2 linked regions of the Anolis sagrei genome follow. The protein of the gene in region 1 purifies or fractionates together with the protein of each later gene. This does not show direct contact. Links are inferred from orthologs where the notes say so. Each region holds a gene or a part of one and is shown on either strand. Other genes may lie near its edges.

Evidence for each region.
Region 2: the proteins of ASPH (region 1) and LRRC59 purify together in Homo sapiens (co-immunoprecipitation; 3 studies listed by BioGRID and IntAct, with this or other methods). This does not show direct contact. The link is inferred for Anolis sagrei from reciprocal best matches to the Homo sapiens genes ASPH and LRRC59.

What each region holds. Positions count from the first base shown.
Region 1 is NC_090024.1:47,302,744-47,312,983, reverse strand, and holds the start of ASPH (aspartyl/asparaginyl beta-hydroxylase), read right to left. Parts: upstream 4,403-10,240; 5' UTR 4,268-4,402; coding exon 4,219-4,267; intron 1-4,218.
Region 2 is NC_090022.1:115,864,929-115,875,286, reverse strand, and holds the start of LRRC59 (leucine-rich repeat-containing protein 59), read right to left. Parts: upstream 4,671-10,358; 5' UTR 4,609-4,670; intron 4,570-4,608; exon of another isoform or gene 4,281-4,569; intron 3,932-4,280; exon of another isoform or gene 3,867-3,931; intron 3,478-3,866; 5' UTR 3,417-3,477; coding exon 3,312-3,416; intron 2,293-3,311; coding exon 2,233-2,292; intron 1,422-2,232; coding exon 1,263-1,421; intron 644-1,262; coding exon 539-643; intron 1-538.

The DNA of each region.
Region 1 (10,240 bases):
AGACGTGGTTAGATATCCACAAAATCCAATGCAAAAATAAAAACTGATTAATACTAATAGTATTGCCAGATTTCCTCCCTCCCTTTGTCCTTCCTTCCTTTCTTTTACTGCAGAATTTTAATCAATTGTCTTTTTAAACTTTTAAAACTTGACTAAATGTAGGATTGTTAGCTGCCTAAAGTCCCCACAGGGAGAAAGGTATAAAGGTATAACAACCCACTCACTCTTTTTTTGTGCTGCAAGGCACTAAACACAGAGCTACTTGTTTGAATTCTGCAGTATCTACTTGTGAATGGCTGCAAAATGAATATGAAAACTCTCCAATATTGTGTGGCAATGCCATTATAGTCAATGGGACACACCCTATCAACTCCAAACTTAAACTACCAGCAAATAGGCGTGACTTGTGTATGTACACAGTGCAAGGAGGAAGAAATGAAGCAAATCTTCTTTTAGCTTGCTTGGTGTGTGTGTGTGCATGTGCGAAATGCATGCACACACATTCAAGGAAGAGGTCAGAGACCCCACCCCCCAAACAAAAAATTGCAGTGATCCCTTGATATCCTCTGAGAATTGGTTCCAGGACCCTGTGGATACTTAAGTCCCATTATGTTGCAAAATAGTGTCCCTTATATAAAATGGCAAAATCAAGGGGGGATTTATTTTTGGAATATTTTAAGTTGTGGATGGTTGATTCTGTGTATATGGAAGACAGGTCATACAAACAAGTGCAAGTGACTCTCTGTGTGCATCTACACTGTAGAATTGATGCAGTTCTGGCATCACTTAACTACCATGGGTCGGTAATATAGAATCATGAAAGGTGTAGTTTTACAAGGCCTTTAACAGTCTCTTCCAAAGAACACTGGCACCTCACTGAACTACATTCCCCAGGATTTCACTTTGATTTCTTCAATCATATGGAAGAAATTTACTTGTTCAACCTTATTTGTGGTCATCTCCTGTCTCTCTGCCTTTATTGTTACAGCAGTGCCCTTTGTTCCTAAACACACATTGCTGAATAGTCAGCATTGCGATCCTATTTGTCTTTTTTATTTTTTTGCTTCTCTTTTAACAGTTTGAAGTGTTATATGTGTCACCCATTTCTCACAATTAAATGAACCTACACACCCATGGTGCATTCTACAGAATTCATGCAGTTTGGCACCACTTGAACTGCTACAGCTTTATGCTAGGGAATGCTGGGAGTTGTAGTTTCGCAAAGTCTTTAGCCTTCTCTGCCAAGGAGTAGATGTGTCTCACCAAGCTCCAAATCCCAGCATTCCATAGTATAATGACAGTAAAAGTGGTGTCAAACTGTAGAATTTGTTTCAGTTTTAACTCCCATTCTTTTCCATCTCAAATGCCATGGACACCCTCCCTCCTTCTTTCCATTGTATTAAAGAAGGGGAGCTACGACCTTGATGTGTGTTTTATGAAGGAGCTCAGAGCCCCCCCTTCCCCCAAAATAATTATAATAAACCATTGGTATTCACTAAAATTTGATTCTAGGTTCCTTGTGGATACTAGAAGCCATGGGTGCAGAAGTCCCACTATAAACAATGTGTAGCAAAATTGCATCCCTTATATAAAATGATAAAATCAAGGTTTGCTTTTTGGATTTTTCTGACTGTACTCAAGTTGTGAATGGCTGTATCCGTGATTATGAAATCCATGGATACAGAAGGCAGGCAGTACAAAGGGCAGGAGAATCTGTGAGTGCATTGCATTGTGGGCATGAAAGCCTTTGGTTACAACTTTAACTGAAGCCACACTAAACTACAAATCCAGGTATGCAATAGCCATGATGTCTTGGGATTTGTAGTTTAGTGAGCCTCCAGCATTTTGTGGCAGAGAAGGCTACAAACCTTTTATTTTGAACCACCTATGTCTTTTAATTTCAGAAACGTTTTACAATAAATCCTCATTGTGTTTTTTTTATGTATTCAATATTCATTTAATGAACTTTTAACATTACAAATTTTGTGTATTCATTTGTACTTTCATTTTAGGCTAGTAGTGGGTTTTTTTGTTAATGTTTTTATTGTAAACACTGGTAGAATAAGATCTCAGTCACCATTTCAAAACAAAGGCTACAGACCTTGTAAAACTACAACTCTCATGATTCCCTATCATTGAGCCAAGGTGGTGAAAGTGGTCCCAAACTGCATTCATTCTACAGTGTTGATCAGGCATGGACAAACTTCGACCCTCCAGGTGTTTTAGACTTCAATTCCCACAATTCCTAACAGCCTACCAGCTGGGTTGCCGGGAGTTTTCCGGACTGTATGGTTGGCCGTGTTCCACAAGCATTGTCTCCTGACGTTTCGACCACATCTATGGCAGAGGTTGAGGGGTTTGTTGGAAACTAAACAAATGAGGTTTAGATATCTGTGGAATGTCAAGGGTGGGAGAAAGAATGCTTGTCTCCTTGAGGCAAGTGTGAATGTTGCAACTGAGTTGTTGTAGGTTTTTTCAGGCTATATGGCCATGTTCTAGAGGCATTCTCTCCTGACGTTTCGCCTGCATCTATAGCAAGCATCCTCAGAGGTTGTGAGGTCTGTTGGAACTAGGAAAAATTGGGTTTATATATCTAGTTCTAACAGACCTCACAACCTCTGAGGATGCTTGCCACAGATGCAGGCAAAACATCAGGAGAGAATGCCTCTAGAACAGGGGTCCTCAAACTTTTTAAACAGAGGACCAGGTCACAGTCCCTTAAACTGTTGGGGGGCTGGATTATGATTTGAAAACAACATGAATGAATTCCTATGCACACTGCACCTATCTTATTTGTAGTGCAAAAACACTTAAAACAATACAATAATTAAAATGAAGAGCAATTTCAACAAATATAAAATGTAGTATTTCAATGGGAAGTGATGCTATTGTTAATGTTTATTGTTTATTTGCTGTTATGAGTTTTATCTACTGCTTGTATTGTTGTTGTTTTTGCTTTGTTATTGCTGTGTTGTGGGCTCGACCTCATGTAAGCCGCACCAAGTCCTTTGGGGAGATGGTAGCAGGGTACAAATAAAGTGTTATTGCTATTATTATTATTATTAAGTGTGGGCCTGCTTTGGGCTGATGAGATAGGATTCTTGTTGTTGTTGTGTGCGTTCAAGTCATTTCAAACTTAGGTTGACCCTGAACAAGGGCCTTCCCGGGTAAATGACCTTGGAGGGCCGCATCCGGCCCCTGGACCTTAAGTTTGAGGACCCCTGCTCTAGAACATGGCCATATAGCCTGAAAAAACCTACAACAACCCAGTGATTCCAGCCATGAAAGCCTTCGACAATACAATGTTGCAATTGCCCATCTTGATTAGCAATTAATGGCCTTGAAGCTTCAAAGCCTGGCTGGTTGCTGCCTGAGGCAATCCCAATTGGACAGTTGGAAACGGATATGTGATTTTGATTAGGTGACTATGTTAGTATAGGAGTATGTGATTTTAATTAATGTTATTGTTAATTTTCTAAGTATTTGATTTTATGTTGTTGTACTGATATTATGGCATTGAATTGTTGCGCATGTAAGCCGCCCTGAGTCCCCCCCTTGGGGGTGAGAAGGGCGGGGTAGAAATGATGTAAATAAAATAAATAAATCCGTTGTTGTGGAAGTTGAAATCCAAAACACTTGCAGGGCCGAAGTTTGCTTATGCTCGGTGTAGATGCACCCGAAGTCTTCTCTTGCAGAGGACTGATGCCTTATGAAACTACAACTCCCAGGATTCCACAGCACTGAACCGTGGCACTTAAAGCAGCATCAAAAGGCATAAATTCTGCACCCTCATTCTCTCAGAAGGTACTGTATGCCTTTGCATAGTAATGTTCCAGTCATTACCCATTAAACTGTAGAAATAATTGGTTTTGACACTTTTATCTGCCTGGACGTACTGCTATGGGATGCTGGGATGTGTAGTTCGGTGTGGCACCATCACTCTTTGGGCAGAGGAAGGTAAAATACCTTCTGGAACTATAGCTCCCAAGCTTCCATAGCTTGGAGGATAGGGAGGGGCCTCCAAAGCGGCAATTTCGAAAAAGGAGGAGGGTGGAGATGGCGAAGACTCGGGAAGGCCTCATTGGATATTGATAGGAGAAGAAGAGTGGGGTCCCTCCGGCTTCCCGCCTCAGAGAGCCGTTATCCGCGCGGCTCTCCCTTCCCACCACCTGCGGGCTGCAGGCCCACTAGGCCGCGGCCTCGCGTAGTGCAACTGACCTCTCCTGGGGCCGGGACTGCCGCTCTTGGGGCTCTTGCGCGGGGCCATCTCGTCCTCGTCGTCGCCGCCGCCTCTCCTGTCAGGTACCGAGAAAGAGAGAGAAAGAGAGGCGCGCTCGCGACGCCGAAGGGGCGGGGCTGACACGAGGGCGAACGGCGTCGCTCCGCCCCTTTAAGCGACCCGAACGGGCGCGCTCACGGCCCTGGGACTGGCACGTCTTAGCCGACCAATCGGCAACGAGGAGGGGAAAATAGGAGACTCCGATTGGCCAATAAAAAAGGGGGCGGGGAGGAACGCCTTCCAAAGTTGTGGCTGTTTGAGGAGTGGGTTGGAACGTGGCAGAGTTGAAGGAGGGGAGGGGAGGGAGAGGGATAATGTGTGACGTGGGACACGTGTTTGAAAGAGTTTGCTCATGGCTGCTCTTCTGTTGAAATAACATAAATCCTATATAATCCCCGCCTTTCCTCTTTCTCTCCTCGGATGGAGAAGGATGGAAAAGGAGGCCCACTACCCTCCCAGACTTAACATTCAGGCAAAGGCAGTGCAGCCTCCTTTCTTGAGAGTCATTGGGTGCATTTGTACATTCGTTGCACTTTGACACCACTTTAAATTGCTATGGCTCAGTACTATGGAATCCTGGGAGTTGTAGTTTGAAGCACCAGCACTCTTGTAAAACATCAATTCCCATGATTCCACAGCATTGAGCAGTTAAAAGGACAGGGTCTTCTCAGTGGTGACCCCCCGCTTATGGAATTCGCTCCCCAGCAAGATTAGATCAGCATCCTCCCTCCTTACTTTTAGGAAAAAAAACTAAATACGTGGTTTTGGAGCCAGGCCTTTGGCTAGTGGGCACAACAGCACTTTAGGCACTGAACTCGGACAATAGGATTGTTTGAAAATTGGAAATGGCTTTATGACCTGTGATTATGTGATTTGTTCTATGTGGTTATGTAATTTTAATTAATATCACTGTTTAATTGTTATGTAATGGATTTTATATTGCTATTTTATATTGTTTTGATACTGATGGCATTGAATAAATAAAGTGGCGTCAAACTGCATTAATTCTACAGTGAAGACAAACCCATATAGCCCTCTTATTTATTTATTTATATCCCACTTTATCTCTCCCATACGGAGACTCAAAATGGTTCACAATCAAAAATATTACAACTTCAAATATACAATATTTATTTATTTATTTATTTAAAACTTTTATGTCCCGATCTTCTCTACCTCCGTAGAGGGACTCAGACCGGCTAACAGCAAGAATTCAATGCTAAACAGTAAAAATCTAAAACAACATATAATAACAGTAAATTAATAATACATATAAACTAAATACCCAAAAGCCATTCGCCAAGATAAAAACATGTCTAACTCAGTCCGTATATTCAGTCCATGTATTGTAGTCAATACTTTGGCCGATTATCAGTCTCACCCATCATTCTGCAAAGGGCTCGTTTCACAGCCAGGTTTTCCCTAGCTTCCTAAAGGTCAGGAGGGAGGGGGCAGATTTAATTTATCAATAATAAATCAGTATATCATATATTATTACAAATCATCAGTAGTAATTATATCTAATATATTAGCATTGCTATATTACAATATTATATATTATATTGTATTATTCGTATTGTCTTACATTATAATATTATGATCAATATTATATGTATACAGTATAAAAGGTAAAGGTTTACCCTTAACATTAAGTCCAGTCGTGTCCAACTCTGGAGAGTGGCGCTTATTTCTATTTCTAAGCCTAAGAGCCAGCATTGTCCATAGACACCTCCAAGGTCATGTGGCTGTCATGACTGCATGGAGCACTGTTACCTTCCTGCTGAAGTAGTACCTATTTATTTATTTATTTTATTTTGCGCATTTCTACCCCGCCCTTCTCAACCCCCAAGGGGGGACTCAGGGTGGCTTACAAGAGGCAAACAATAAGATAAAACATATAAACAGCAATTATAAACAATTAAAACAATCAATTATACATCATAATCAATAAAACCAATCTAATACTCAACGTTCGCCAGCTCAGCGTCTGTAAATTCATTCCACATTGTCAAATCCTATCAATTCTAGTCGTCATTGTCCTTTTGATCTACTCACATTTGCATGTTTTTGAACTGCTAGGTTGGCAGAAGCTAGGGTTGACAGTGGAAGCGCATGCCGTTCCCCGAATTTAAACCCGTGACCTTTCGGTCAACAAGTTTAGCAGTTCAGCTTCTGCCAACCTAGCAGTTTGAAAACATTCAAATGTGAGTAGATCAATAGGTACCGCTTCAGCAGGAAGGTAATGACACTCCATGCAGTCATGCTGGCCACATGACCTAGGAGGTGTCTACGGATGTCAGCAATGTCAGCTGTTCGGCTTAAAAATGGAGGTGAGCATCACCCCCCAGAGTCGGGCACGACTAGACTTAATGTCAAGGGGAAACCTTTACCTTTTTGAGCGAATGGTGGGGAAAACAATACACTTCAGGGGAGCTCCATTAATGATTTCTGCATTTGAAAGTGAGAATAAGGATCTGATAAATAAAAATCTTATACTGCTTCTGTTATGTGCCACAAGACTCGAAAATAGTGAAAACCTGGAAAAGGTTAGAGAATCTGACAATAAAGAACTGCTTAAACAAGATATGTGCAATAGATCAATTTATTAGCTTAATTCATAAAATGAATTGTGAATTTAAACCACCAAACATCCAAAAAAGATTGTGCTTGAGCAATTAATGACCAAATTACAATAATTATATTTAACAGATACAATTAGAGTAATGTAGAAGTAATAGAATTGACAGTGATGTATTTTTATAATGATATAAGTAATGGGAGGTTGGAGGTTATCGATCTGGAAATAGAAGATGTGATAAGACAATTGTATCATGGGTTGTTGTGAGTTTTTCAGGCTGTATGGCCATGTTCCAGTAGCATTCTCTCCTGATGTTTCATCTGCATCTGTGGCAAGAATCCTCAGAGGTTTGTCCAGTAATTCTGGTCATGAAGGCCTTCAACAACAAATTGTATCATGTTTTAAGTGTTTTGGAATTTTATATTTAATAAAATTATTTCCAAAATTTTAAAAAAGCAAAATACCCAATCTGCTTCTTCTACAGCCATCATTGTGTCTTTTTGTAGATTCAGAGATTTGATTTAAAATGTACTCTCTAGGAATCTCAAAATCCTGGAGGACCTATCTTTAGGGATGCACCTACATCATAGAATTAATGTTGTTTGACATAACTAACTACCATGGCTCAGTGTGATAGGATCATAGGAATCACAGCCTTCTGCCAAAAAGTGGCAGTGTCTTGGCAAACAGCAACACCCATGATGCCATGGCATTGGGCCACAGAAGTTAACATAATATCAAACTGCATCAAAGCTACAATACAGATGCACTCTTAAGACTTTCTACAACCTCCAATGTGTATGTATGTTTGGCTTCCAGCAGAAGTTAATCATAGAGTTCTCCTAGATATAGAATTCTCAGAGGTGAGACAATTAGCCATTTATTTATTCATAGGGGTTTATTCACTTTGATGTGAGTCCTGTGCCTCTATGTGAGGAATGTAAATCTTTGCTAAAGGCTCCAGAGCCGCTTTGATATAGGAGGCTAAGTAGAGTCAGCCCTGGTTCGTACTTGGATGGGAGACTGATATCAAATAAGGCCGTCTTTCAGAGAAAATACTCAAAGGCAAACCCATCTGTGAGAATTCCAGGCTTAAGAAAACCTTATAAAATTAATGGGCCACCATAAGTCGACAGACATATTAAAGGCATCGTCCACACAAGAGTCTGAGATGATATGGAAATACATAACCATAAATATCGACAATATCTATTAAGTTGTAAAATAAGACACCTTATTTCTTTCTTCTCACATTTTCTGCAAAATCCCTAACAGTGCTAACTCTATAAAAGTTGTCTCACAAATGTTGCAACTTGATGAGCAAGATGGGAACAATATTATCTGTTATTCCTAAATCCTTGTACTTTGAACCTAACCGTTTCTTCTCAGAGGCAAGTCTGACTAAACTCAATGGTGATTACTCTTCAGTTTGCAGAAGATTACAGCCATGTTTGTTAAACTGAGTGTCTTTCCAGATCAAATTACCCCACCCTGCTTTTTTAACAGACGGATAATAGAGTAATGGCTTTTCAAACCAATCGGTACCATGGAGCACCAACTGTTTTTCACTGAAGCATGACGCTCACTGGGTGGCCTTGGGCCAGCCACTGTGCCTCAACCTGAGATAGCTCACAAACATCTAAGGCATCTTGAGGTCATCTGAGGATTGGCACCAAAGAAATATAATAAAGAAATAAATATATGCCATCTTTTTAAAGAAGGGTTAGGATAGTGGAAACAGTTGAGAAATACTTCCTTTTGTGAGAAAGAAAAAGGATTATGTTGTCAGGTTTAAAATGAGTGTTACCTTCTGTAAATAAAGGACAGAGTTTGATGTCATCTTAACTGCCATGGATTGATGCTATGAAATCATGGGAGCTGTAGTTTTACAAGGTCTGGAGGCTCCTCTGCCTCTACAATTCCCATGATTTTACAGCATCAGGTTATGGCAAAGTGGTGTTAAACCGCATTAATTCTGCAGTGTAGATGCCCCCTAATTCAACTATTTCCACTATCCTAACTCTTCTTTAATTAAACTCTATCATTGAATTATATGAACAATATTATGTAAGTAGGTTCATGAATTGATTGCATACATAGCAGTAGTAGTCCTAGATAGTGTTTGTGAGTCATTAAGATTGTAGTTGATTAAGATTGCAATCATTACATGCTCTAAAGCTTTCCCACCAACAATGAGAGGTGTGTAGCCTTGTTTACTGAGGTTGCTACATGACCTATAAAAGCAATTCATCTGTTTAATCTGTATATCATGCTTGTCAAGGCACACCAAATTTAAGCAGATTGCCCAATATGATTTGTTGTAGATGTGTGCACTCAAGGCCAGGCTTGTTTCAGATCCCACTTTAGCACTTTGATTCAGCTTGGGGCTGTACAGCGTAACTTTGTCTTTTTGGAAGGAAAGAAATATTTCATAGAATCATAGAGTTTGAAGACTGTAATGTATTTTTTATTTTTGGGCTTTTTAAGTCTCTTCCATTGCGTTTTTCAGTGTTTTTATGAGTGATGGTCACTTGTTGGCCTGATAAGTGTATTGTGTCCAAATTTGGTTTCAATTTGCTCAGTGTTTTTTGAGTTATGTTAATCTCACAAATGAACATTATATTTTTATTTATATAGATTATTAACTTTGATAAATCTACACATATAAATAGCAGTTCACTTTGATAAGCATTAATTTTTCTCCTCCAATTACACGTTTATTATTCATATTTCAATGTAAAGCTTAACTAGGATTCATAGCAAACTCAACAGGAATAACCTGTGAAAATGGGTGAAATGGTTTTCCATCTTCAACTCCCCTTAAAATGGACTATCCTTCTCTGTCTAAGCCTCCTTTTGGAGTCCGCCCAGAAAATGGAACAGTACATTTTAATGTTACACATTGAATTGTGGCCAGTTCCATTTAGTAATATAAATCTGTGAATTATCCTCTCCTGATTTTACTTTAGCTACTATCATATTGCCAAATTATAAAATGAATCTAATGGGTACTGATTGACACACCATCTCCCCCCTTGAATTTACTTTGGGACAAAAGGAGGTGATCCACCATTTCCATATAATTGCTGAATGATTCTCACTGTTGCACTCCAGGCCAGGAAGAAGCCCTCTGACTTAAAAACACCACACGGCTGAGGGAAAATGCAAGCAGTTTATTGTAGGTAATTTTTTTTAAAAAACATTAGCAATAAAAACACTCCAAAGAAATAGGTAAATCCAAGTAGGTAGAAAGATAAACAGGAACAAATAATCCAGTAAATAAATCCATTAAAGTACATGAAAATCCACACAGAAACTTCCAAGGTAAAACTCCAAATCATGAAATCAAACAAGGTATAACTTGACTCTTTCCAAGGTAACAC
Region 2 (10,358 bases), on another chromosome or scaffold:
AGCTCTAAAGGCAATTTGTCTGGAGTAAGAATTTATTTTCAATTAAAATAGGACAAAAAATTGTCAGCACAGCTTCTCAAAAAGATGACATCCTTCACACAGCTCCACATTTGTTCTTGAATATACTGTAAACAAGTTTGGTCTTTTAAAAAAGAGTGCTAGATGAAATGCCTAATGCTTATTGACGTGCATCTGCCCAACGCAACTGATTGAGTACAGGGCCCACTGCATTAATGTAGAACTCTAATCATTTTAATGTAGCCGATAAACAAGATTAAAACAAAGCCACAGTTCTACAGTCTTCATAAAGATGTCTGTTCTTAATAGGAAATATCCACAGAGCTGGAGCAAATCACATTTAAGCCATATAAAATAGTATTTATAGTAAAATGGAATTCAATTCATGTTGTGAAAGATTGTAGTTTATACTGAGCTTTTACATGTCTAAAAATCCAGAAGAAAAAATATCAACAGCTTCTAATTAATCAGCACAACAAAAGGAAAGGGAGCCAACAAGACAAATAGAAAGATCCCTTACTCTGATGGCAGCTTGCTTACACTGTTTTTCATCCAAGCAATCTCCAGCAACCTTTGCTAGCATAGGATCTAAGGGGTTGTCTTTCAGATCCAGCCACTTCAGATTCTGAAGAAGGAAAATACAGACAAAATTAGCTCAAGTCAGCTCCAAGGATTTTCAGTTTCCCTACTTGGAAGCATTTGACTTGACATTAGAATTCCTAGAAGGCCCATGATGCTGAGTACACATGAGCATTACATAGAGCTACACTGGAGATGTACTCATATTTCCAAAACAATGCCTGCAGTTCATAACAAACTACTGCTTTTGTAATTTAGTCGTTTCAGCCACGCACTTTTAAAATGTCAACATCCATATTACTATTTGGGAGACTTCAACACAAGGGCAAAATGGTAAGTTAGCTGTACTTTTAGTAGGTACAGCTAATGGGATTTTATAAAGGAAGTAGCATTTAAAACAGGTGGGAAAATTCTTGAGCTGCAGGCCATATTTCTGTGGCATACAAAGGGAGAGGGGGTCATTCGGAATCATAGAAAATGTAGGGAAATAAGTACAGTTGAGGAATCAATTTTCTGCACAGTATCTTTTCTGTTAGTGGAAGAAAGGCAATTTTTTTTCAATTTTAGCTCCCTTGCAGTTGAGAAATAAATTTTACTAAAAGAAAATATTCTGCTCCAAACCCATGGTCTTACTTCAGTTAAGAATTAGACATGGAAAGGATTACCTTGAGTTGGGCAAAACTGACTGGCAAAGTTACTAATCGATTGTTCAGCAGATCCAGATGTTGCAAGTTGACCAAGCGACCAAAGTCTGAAGGCAGTTGCTGAAGCTGATTTTTACTTAAATCCAGTTTCACTAGATGGGTCAAACTGCAGAAATCAGACTAAAAAAAGAACAAAACAAAAAGTCCAACCCATTATCTTAACAAAAGTTGATGCAAGCAGCTTTGAACTCTATACATGCCTACCTGAAAGTAAACCCTACTAAAATCAGTAAGAGATGCTTTTCAGATAAGTACAAAGAGCATGGTGCTGTTGAAGAACTAAGCACTAGTAAGATAATAGTAAGATGATGCACATAGCCTTTCTGAAGGAATTTGAGAAATTATGAACATACGTCAACTCATAGTAAACCTGTAAATAGAGAAACAGATCTAAAAACATATAGTAAGAGAAAAGTCATAGCTATAATAATCACATTAATCCTATGGTTCCTTGAGAGAATCTGTGTTCCCTAAATGATTTTTTCCTTACATATCAATAGTGGAAGACTTAGAACCTAAAGCTACCATTCACTGATATATTTATTAATCCAGTTTGAAAGTATCTGTCATTATGGCATATCTTTCTTCTCTGAAATATCAGGTGCATTTCTGTCTCTAATTATGAGTCAGTATTTGATGCTGGTCTTTTAAGGACTGTGGCATTTGAGTAAGGCAGTGCATCTACTCCAAAGTTTTATTCTGAACTTTACATTAGCAATCCGTAGTGCTGATTCTTGTCCCTAAAACCGGCTCAACGTCTTCTATTTGAAGGTTCAGACTAAAACATGGAGTGAAATCTCCATCCTACTGACATGGTAAACACCAGCAATCACTGCCCAGGGAATTATCTCTACCATCATTATTACAGTTACTGCACCTATGATCACATCTACATGAGTCATCGCTACAAAGCAAAAAAGTTGCAACTTACAGGTAATGATGTAAGATTGTTACAAGACAAATCCAAAATAGTTGCCTTTGGAAGTGCTGCCTGCAAAGAAACAAACAAAATTAACAGTGCAATCCTATATATGCCTACTTAAACATTAGTTACCTTGTGTCCTCTGGGGCTTATCCCTTACTACATGTAATTCAGATTGCAAACCAGTGATATCAATCGTATATCATTCATTTCAGTGAAAATAATTCATTTCCTAAAATCTATATATTACAGTCATCCTTCCAGATTTGTAGGCTTAACTGTTGTGGATCTGACCACAGATTTATTTGATAAGTTCTCTCTAGGAATGTCTAGGAGTGTAAAATAAACTTCTGATGGAAGCTAATCATAGAGTCATGCAGAAAGATCTCAAGAGGTATTATTTCAGGTAAAATAATTTCAGGTAAAATAGTTTCCTACTTTCACATGATTCTGAGCTCCTAACGTCTGTAAAAGTTGAGGACCTACTGTATTCTTCAGAATTGTACCTTTCTCAAAACAGAGACAATTTATCATATATTCCAATGTACAAGTTGACCTCATGTTGAGTGCAAGTTTGAGGATGAAAATTATGCATTTTGTATGAGCTGTGAATAACTTGATAGCCATTCCACAGAGAGAAGAAAGCGGCAGTACCATCACAGGGAGCCAGATGCCACTGCCCACTGCTGCCACCATTTCCCAAGGATTCAAAAGGCAAAAAGTGGTGCCAAGGTTAAAAGAGCAGAGAGGGTTGAATACTTCTTTTAGGTTCTCCATGAACAGACTAAACTCTTGTCTCCTGCCACTCTGTGGATAGTTTTTATTTTATAAGCATTAAGGCACAGTACTTACAGGGACCCATGTGTAAGTTGACTTAGGCTTCTGGGGTCAATATTTTGGCTAAAATTTCTAGATTTATACCTTCAGAATGTAATCAATGTATATTTCAAAAACTGGTTCAAGCCTCTCATGAGGAAGGGCCAACTGACTTCCTGCTACATATCATACATAGTTCACAAGCAAATACAATCATATGGCTTTTACATTGTTTGTAGTATTTGATAGCCAAAATGAAAACATATACTAACCAGCTCTTTAACTGGCACTTCATTCAGGTCACACAAACTGAGGTCCAATTCATTGCCCTCTAGTTTGTCCTTTAGGTTCACCCCTTTTCCTCCGGATCTGGACATGGTCTTTAATAAACCAAAACCAGTCTTCCAACTAGCTTGGTGAATGAATATGCTTGAGTTCCTATGGAGAAAAATGATGAATGAACACTTATGAGAAAGCAAGCACCACTAAACGCAGTAGGATTTACTTCCAAAGAGCCACAATGTCCAGGATGAGTCTAGAGCAATGCTTCTTAAACTGTGGGTCACGACCCCAAATTGAGTCCCTTTAGCTCAATATTTGGGTCCCCTAACAGTATATATAAACCTCACTTGCCACGTTTCCAACAGACCTCACAACCCCTGAGGATACCTGCCACAGATGTGGGCAAACATCAGGAGAGAATGCCTCTGGAACATGGCCTGGAACAACCCAAAAAATTCACAGCAACCAGGTGATTCTGGCCATAAAAGCCTTCGACAACACATACTAGTTAAAATGCAGGTTAAAATTAACAAGCTAATAATTACTAGGTAGGCCTGCCAAAAGAGGTGGGTCTTCTGTTTTTGAAATTCTGATCTAGCTGTAGGATCTGTAGGAATGCCCTTGGTGAGTAGGTGGCTTCCTCCTTTGTGGCCACCGTCCTCAAGCACAGCGGCATCCTTTCCCACCACGAAGGGGAGACAAGCAATGGGGGGAAGGAGCAGCGGGTGTACTCAGAAACGCCATTGGGAGCCAATGCAGCCCCGAAAAATCAGCCCAAAAGCTCCTGCCGACATTGGCCTGTCCTGGACTTTTCAAATTCTCGGCCACTCGAACTTGGGCATCTGGGAAGCTGGAAAGGCACCAAGGGGGCGGAGGGGTCGCCAACTGAGAAATCCACAAGCCTTTCCCTGCCAAGGAGGGGAAGCTGCGGCCTCCAGGAGTCACTAGGAGACTCTCACCTCTGGGCAGGTGGCGCGGGTCCCCCAAGCCAACTCCTGCCCCTTTGCAGGAGCCTGACACCCACAAGGCCAGCTGGGACATTTCTTGCTGTCACTGCAGCGCCACGTCAGTTAACTTTGCCCTCGAGGCTGAGTCTACACTTGGGCCCTCCCTCCAGGTGTTTTGGACTTCAACTCCCACAGTTCCTAACAGCCTCAGGCCTCTTCCTTTTCCCCGAGGAAAAGGGGAACTGTGGGAGTTGAAGTCCAAAACACCTGGAGGGCCTAAGTTTGCTCATGCCTGGTGTAGAAGCTCGCCGCTCGCTCTCTCTCTCACACACACACTCACCTCCCTCGCGCCCTGCCAATGCCAGCCACTTCCGCCTCTTCCTCCCCTTCCTCCGCTCCGAGGGGAACAAGAGAGAGGGAAGGAGAGAGCGCCTCCCAGAAATCGAGGAAGGAATCCCGCAGCGCCCCCTGGAGTTGCGAATAGCTCAAGCTCCTTCCACACAGCTGTATAAAATCCACATTGAGCTGGATGGTCTGTCAGTGCGGGGTGGGAGCAGGAGGGCTGGGTCCGGAGGCACCGAACGTTACGGAGAGGCCGCATCGCTCCTTTGGGAGCGCAGTTTGCGCAAGAGAGACTTCGCTCATGTAAGCCAGGCCGGAGACAGAGAACAGAGAAGGGATGGAAGAGTTCTTTCATGGTGAAACCCTTACCCTTACCCTGAACCGGAAGCCTAACCCTAACCCAAACCCTAAACCCTAAACCTTGCCCTTATCCTTACTTTAACCCTAACCCATACTCTAACCGTAATCCCTAATCATATAACCCAAACCCTAAACCTTACCCTAACCCTAAACCATACCCTAACTGTAACCCCTAACCCTTACCCTAGCCATAACCCTAACCCTTAACCTAAACCATACTCAAACCGTAACCCCTTACCCTAACCATAACCCAAATCCAAACCCTAAACCATAACCTAACCATAACCCAAATCCTAAACCTTACTCTAACCTAAACTCTAACACTTACGCTAACCCAAACCCTAAACCTTACCCTAACCCTAAACTATACCCTAACCATAACCCCTAACCCTTACCCTAACCATAACCCTAACCCTTAACCTAAACCATACCCCAACCGTAACCCTTACCCTAACCATAACCAAAACCCAAACACTAAACCTTACCTTAACCTTAACCCTTACCTTAACCCTAAACCAAACCCTAATCCTAATCATAAGCCAAACCCTAAACATTACTCTAACCCTAACTCTTACGCTAACCCAAGCGAACCATACCCTAACCCTAACCCCTTACCCTAACCCAAACCCCTAACCATAACCCTAATCATAACCCTAACCATAACCCAAACCCTAAACCTTATCCTAACCCTAAACCGTACCCTAACCATAACCCTTACCCTAACCCAAACCTAAACCCTAAACCCCTAACCATAACCCTAACCCTAAACCGTACCCTAACCCCTAACCCTTACCCCAACCCTAACCCAAACCTAAACTCCTAACCATAACCATAACCCAAACCCTAAACCTTACCCTAACCCTAAACCGTACCCTAACCATAACCCCTAACCCTTACCCTAACCCAAACCTAAACTCTAAACCCCTAACCATAACCCAAACCCTAAACCTTACCCTAACCCTAAACCGTACCCTAACCATAACCCCTAGCCCTTACCCTAACCCAAACCTAAACCCTAAACCCCTAACCATAACCCTAACCATAACCCTAACCCTTACCCTAACCCTAACCCAAACCTAAACCCCTAACCATAATCCAAACCCTAAACTTTACCCTAACCCTAAACCATACCCTAACCATAACCCCTAACCCTTACCCTAACCCAAACCTAAACCCTAAACCCCTAACCATAACCATAACCCAAACCCTAAACCTTACCCTAACCCTAAACTGTACCCTAACCATAACCCCTAACCCTTACCCTAACCATAACCCTAACCCAAACCTTGCCCTAACCCTTACCCTAAGTGTCTCCTCCTTTCTATCCTTCCTTCACTCTCCCCGCTCTCACTCCAACCTCTCTTCTCCATTAAGCTCGGAGCTTCCAGACCCAGCTATCATACTATCACCCAGCGTGGGCTCACATAATCCAGTTCAACGCAGATATTGTGGATTACACACCTTGATATTCTGAGTTAGATGGCTGTGTGGAAGGGCCCTATGTGTCATCTATACTGGTCCATGGAGAGTTTCCAGGAAATAAATAAATAATTATAGCCAATGGACAAAAACATGGTGCTGGCCTCTGGGGGGCGAAATGGCTTTTCTCCTCACAGTTGCTAGTTTCTCCACAACAGATAGCCCAGGGGCCCATCCACACAGCCATAAAACCCAGAATATCAAGGCAGATAATCCACAGTATCTGCTTTGAACTGGGTTATCGGAGTCCACACAGCCATATAACCCAGAATATCAAGGCAGAAAATCCCACAATATGAGGTATCTGCTTTGAATTGGGTTATCTGAGTCCACAATGCCATATATTCCAGTTCAAAGCAGATAATGGGGGATTTTATACAGCGGTGTGGAAGGGCCCTAAGATAGAGCATCTTAAACTTTGTCCACTGAGACCCCATCAACACTGCCATATAACCAGGGCCCTTCCACACAGCCCTATATCCCAGAATATCAAGGCAGAAAATCCCACAATATCTGCTTTGAGCTACATTATCTGAGTCCACACTCAGACAATGTGGGGTTTTCTGCCTTGATATTCCGTGTGGAAGGACCCCCAGTTACTGAATCCAGATTATCATCTTTGAACTGGATTATTTGATAGTGTAGACTCCTATAATCCAGTTCCGATCAGATAATCAGGATTCAGAAACTGGGTTATACAGCAGTGTAGATCCAGCTACACAACCCCTTTCGGCCCAATACAATTTTTACATGATCTCAGCTATGTAAGGAATAGGTGTAAAATAAAGTATTTCATTATAAATTGGGATTTGCAAAGCTTGCTTAACAAGCCAATTTCCCCTTTTCATGAAACTCAAGACTCACCTGCAAAGTCCACTGTAAACACTGTGCTGTAGATTTCTGTAAATGTCTAAAACCGCCACTAGGTGACATTCAGAAACCTTTTACTGTTGGACCATCCTCCAAAAAATCGGGTGTCCTAACAAATTTGTGAACATCCTGCGGCTCCTCCATGACGACATGATGGCAACAGTCTCGGACAGCCATGGCTCCCAAAGTGACCCATTTAAGATGGAATCAGGTGTCAAACAGGGATGTGTTATTGTCCCAACTTTATTTTCCATCTTCATCGCTATGATACTTCACCTTGTTGATGGGAAGCTTACCACAAGAGTGGAAATCATCTATCAGACAGATGGCAAGATTCAGCAGACTGAAAGCCAAAATCAAGGTTACAATGACATCTATTATAGAACTCCAGTATGCTGATGACAACATCATCTGTGCGCATTCAGAAGAAAATCTACAAGCCACTCTAAACACCTTCGCAGAAGCATACAAGAAGCTTGGCCTGTCATTAAACATTGAGAAAACCAAAGTGCTCTTCCAGCAGTCACCAGGCAATCCCTCTGCAATGCCAGAAATACAGCTTAATGGTGTAACATTAGAAAATGTTGACCATTTCCGCAAGCTTGGCAGCCACCTCTCCACAAAAGTCAACATTGACACCGAAATACAACACCGTCTGAGCTCTGCAAGTGCAGCATTTTTCCGAATGAAGCAGAGAGTGTTTGAGGGATACCAAGGTGCTTGCTTATAAAGCTATTGTCCTCCCAACCCTGCTATATGCCTGTGAAACGTGGACTGTCTACAGACGTCACATGCAACTCCTGGAACGATTCCATCAGCGCTGCCCCTGGAAAATCCTGCAAATCTCTTGGGAAGACAAGCGGACAAATGTCAGCATGCTGGAAGAAGCAAAGACCATCAGCATTGAAGCAATGGTCCTCTGCTATCAACTCCGCTGGACTGGCCACGTTGTCCAGATGCCCGACCACCGTTTCCCAAAGCAGTTGCTCTACTCTGAAATTAAGAACGGAAAACGGAATGTTGGAGGGCAGGAAAAGAGATTTAAAGATGGGCTCTGGCATAGGCACTAAGAATTGGGAAACCCTGGCCCTTGAGTACTCCAGTTGGAGATCAGCTGTGACCAGCAGTGCTGTATAATTTGAAGAGGCATGAATGGAGGATGAAAGAGAGAAACATGCCAAGAGGAAGGCTCGTCAAGCCAACCCCGACCGGGACCGCCTTCCACCTGGAATCCGATGCCCTCACTGTGGGAGAAGATGCAGGTCAAGAATAGGGCTCCACAGTCACCTACGGACCCACCGCTAGGACACCAACCTTGGAGGACCATCATCCTCGGACTATGAGGGATTGCCTAAGTACAGTTGCCAAATTTTCGTGACCCCAACACTGAGCAAAGGGGACCCCATTTAAGGTTGGGACCCACCTTGTAAGAAGCAGTACTGTGGGCTGCATTTCAGATTAATTCATTAGGCTGCTGTACTATACATTTTAGTTGAGTTATGGGGCTAAAGTAGTTTGTGATAAGAGATTATAACAGAAGCTTGGCTCAATTATAGGGTCTCTGGAGATATTTTGCTATTACAAAATGGCAATACACATTTTAGATCTTGATGCGTATTTTGAATTGTGCCTATAACCACACCAGTAGTCAGTGGAGCTGTTGTAAAAAGATAGCTGCTGAAATGTTAGGGTGACACTTAACCTATATGACGTCAATATATCAGACATGAAGCCAAATTCAGTTTGGTAATCACAAGGGTGGAGATTATCAGACATCAAATGAGATTCAGATTTACAATCACAGGGGTGAAGAAAGCTGTGTTTATGGCCTGCTCACAGCCTGTTGGGGCTTGTTTTGCAGCCCCTGAAGACCCCAATGTATAGCCTGAGGAGTTTAACCTTAGGAGTCCCCTAGGAGTTCCCCTGTGACACCTCTCAGAATATAAATGCATAAAAGTTCTAGTTGTAAAAGTGACAATTGCCTCTATATAACAATGCAGGGCAAAGTGAGCAAACTGTGGCTGAAAATTGGACCTCAGAAGCATGATGTCTGCGTGATTAGCATGTATCTTGCCAAATTATTTTTAAACTAGCCATCCCCTGCCACGCATTGCTGTGGCCCAGTCTGGTGATCTGGAAAATAAAGTAATGAGCAAGTGTTGGTTTTTAATATATGTAATTTCTTGATGTTTGTGGGTAAACAATATTTCTTGCTGTTTCTTTGTCAGTGTTGACGTGGAAATTGTCTGGTTTGCCTACTCTGGAACATGCTAGGATATAATTGTCCTTTTTTAGGGGTCCCTTTCAAATCTATGATACTATATCTCAATGTGTGTGTGAATCATATATATCTAATCTATATCTGTGGCTGGATGGCTCTTTGTCAGGAGGGCTTTGATTACATTGTCTTGCCCTGGCGAAGGGAGCTGGACTGGATGGCCTTAAGTATTTTCTTTTGCTCATGGGGTTCTGTGTGGAAGTTTGCCCCAATGCTGTCGTTGGTGGGTTCAGAATGCTCTTTGATTGTAGGTGACCTATAAATCCCAGTAACTACAACTCCCAAATATCAAGGTCTATTTCCCCCAAACTCCATCTGTGTTCATATTTGGGCATATGGAATATTTGTTCCAAGTTTGGTCCAGATCCATCATTGTTTGAGTCCACAGTGCTCTCTGGATGTAGGTGAACTACAACTCCCAAACTCAAAGTCAATGCTCACCAAACCCTTCTAGTTTTTTTCTGTTGGTCATGGGAGTCCTGTGTGCTACACTTGATTGATTCCATCATTGGTAAAGTTCAGAATGCCCTTTGATTGTAGGTTAACTATAAATCCCAGCAACTACAACTCTCAAATGACAAAAAAAAAAATTGAGTGATGGTCATTCCTTGGGTTAGTAGGTGTCTTGTGGCCAAATTTGGCAGCAATTAGTCCAGTGGTTTTTCAGTTCTGTTAATCCCACAAACGAACATTATATTTTTATTTATATAGATTGCCACCACTGTGAATTTCCACTTAACATAACTGAGCAAGTCTTTTAG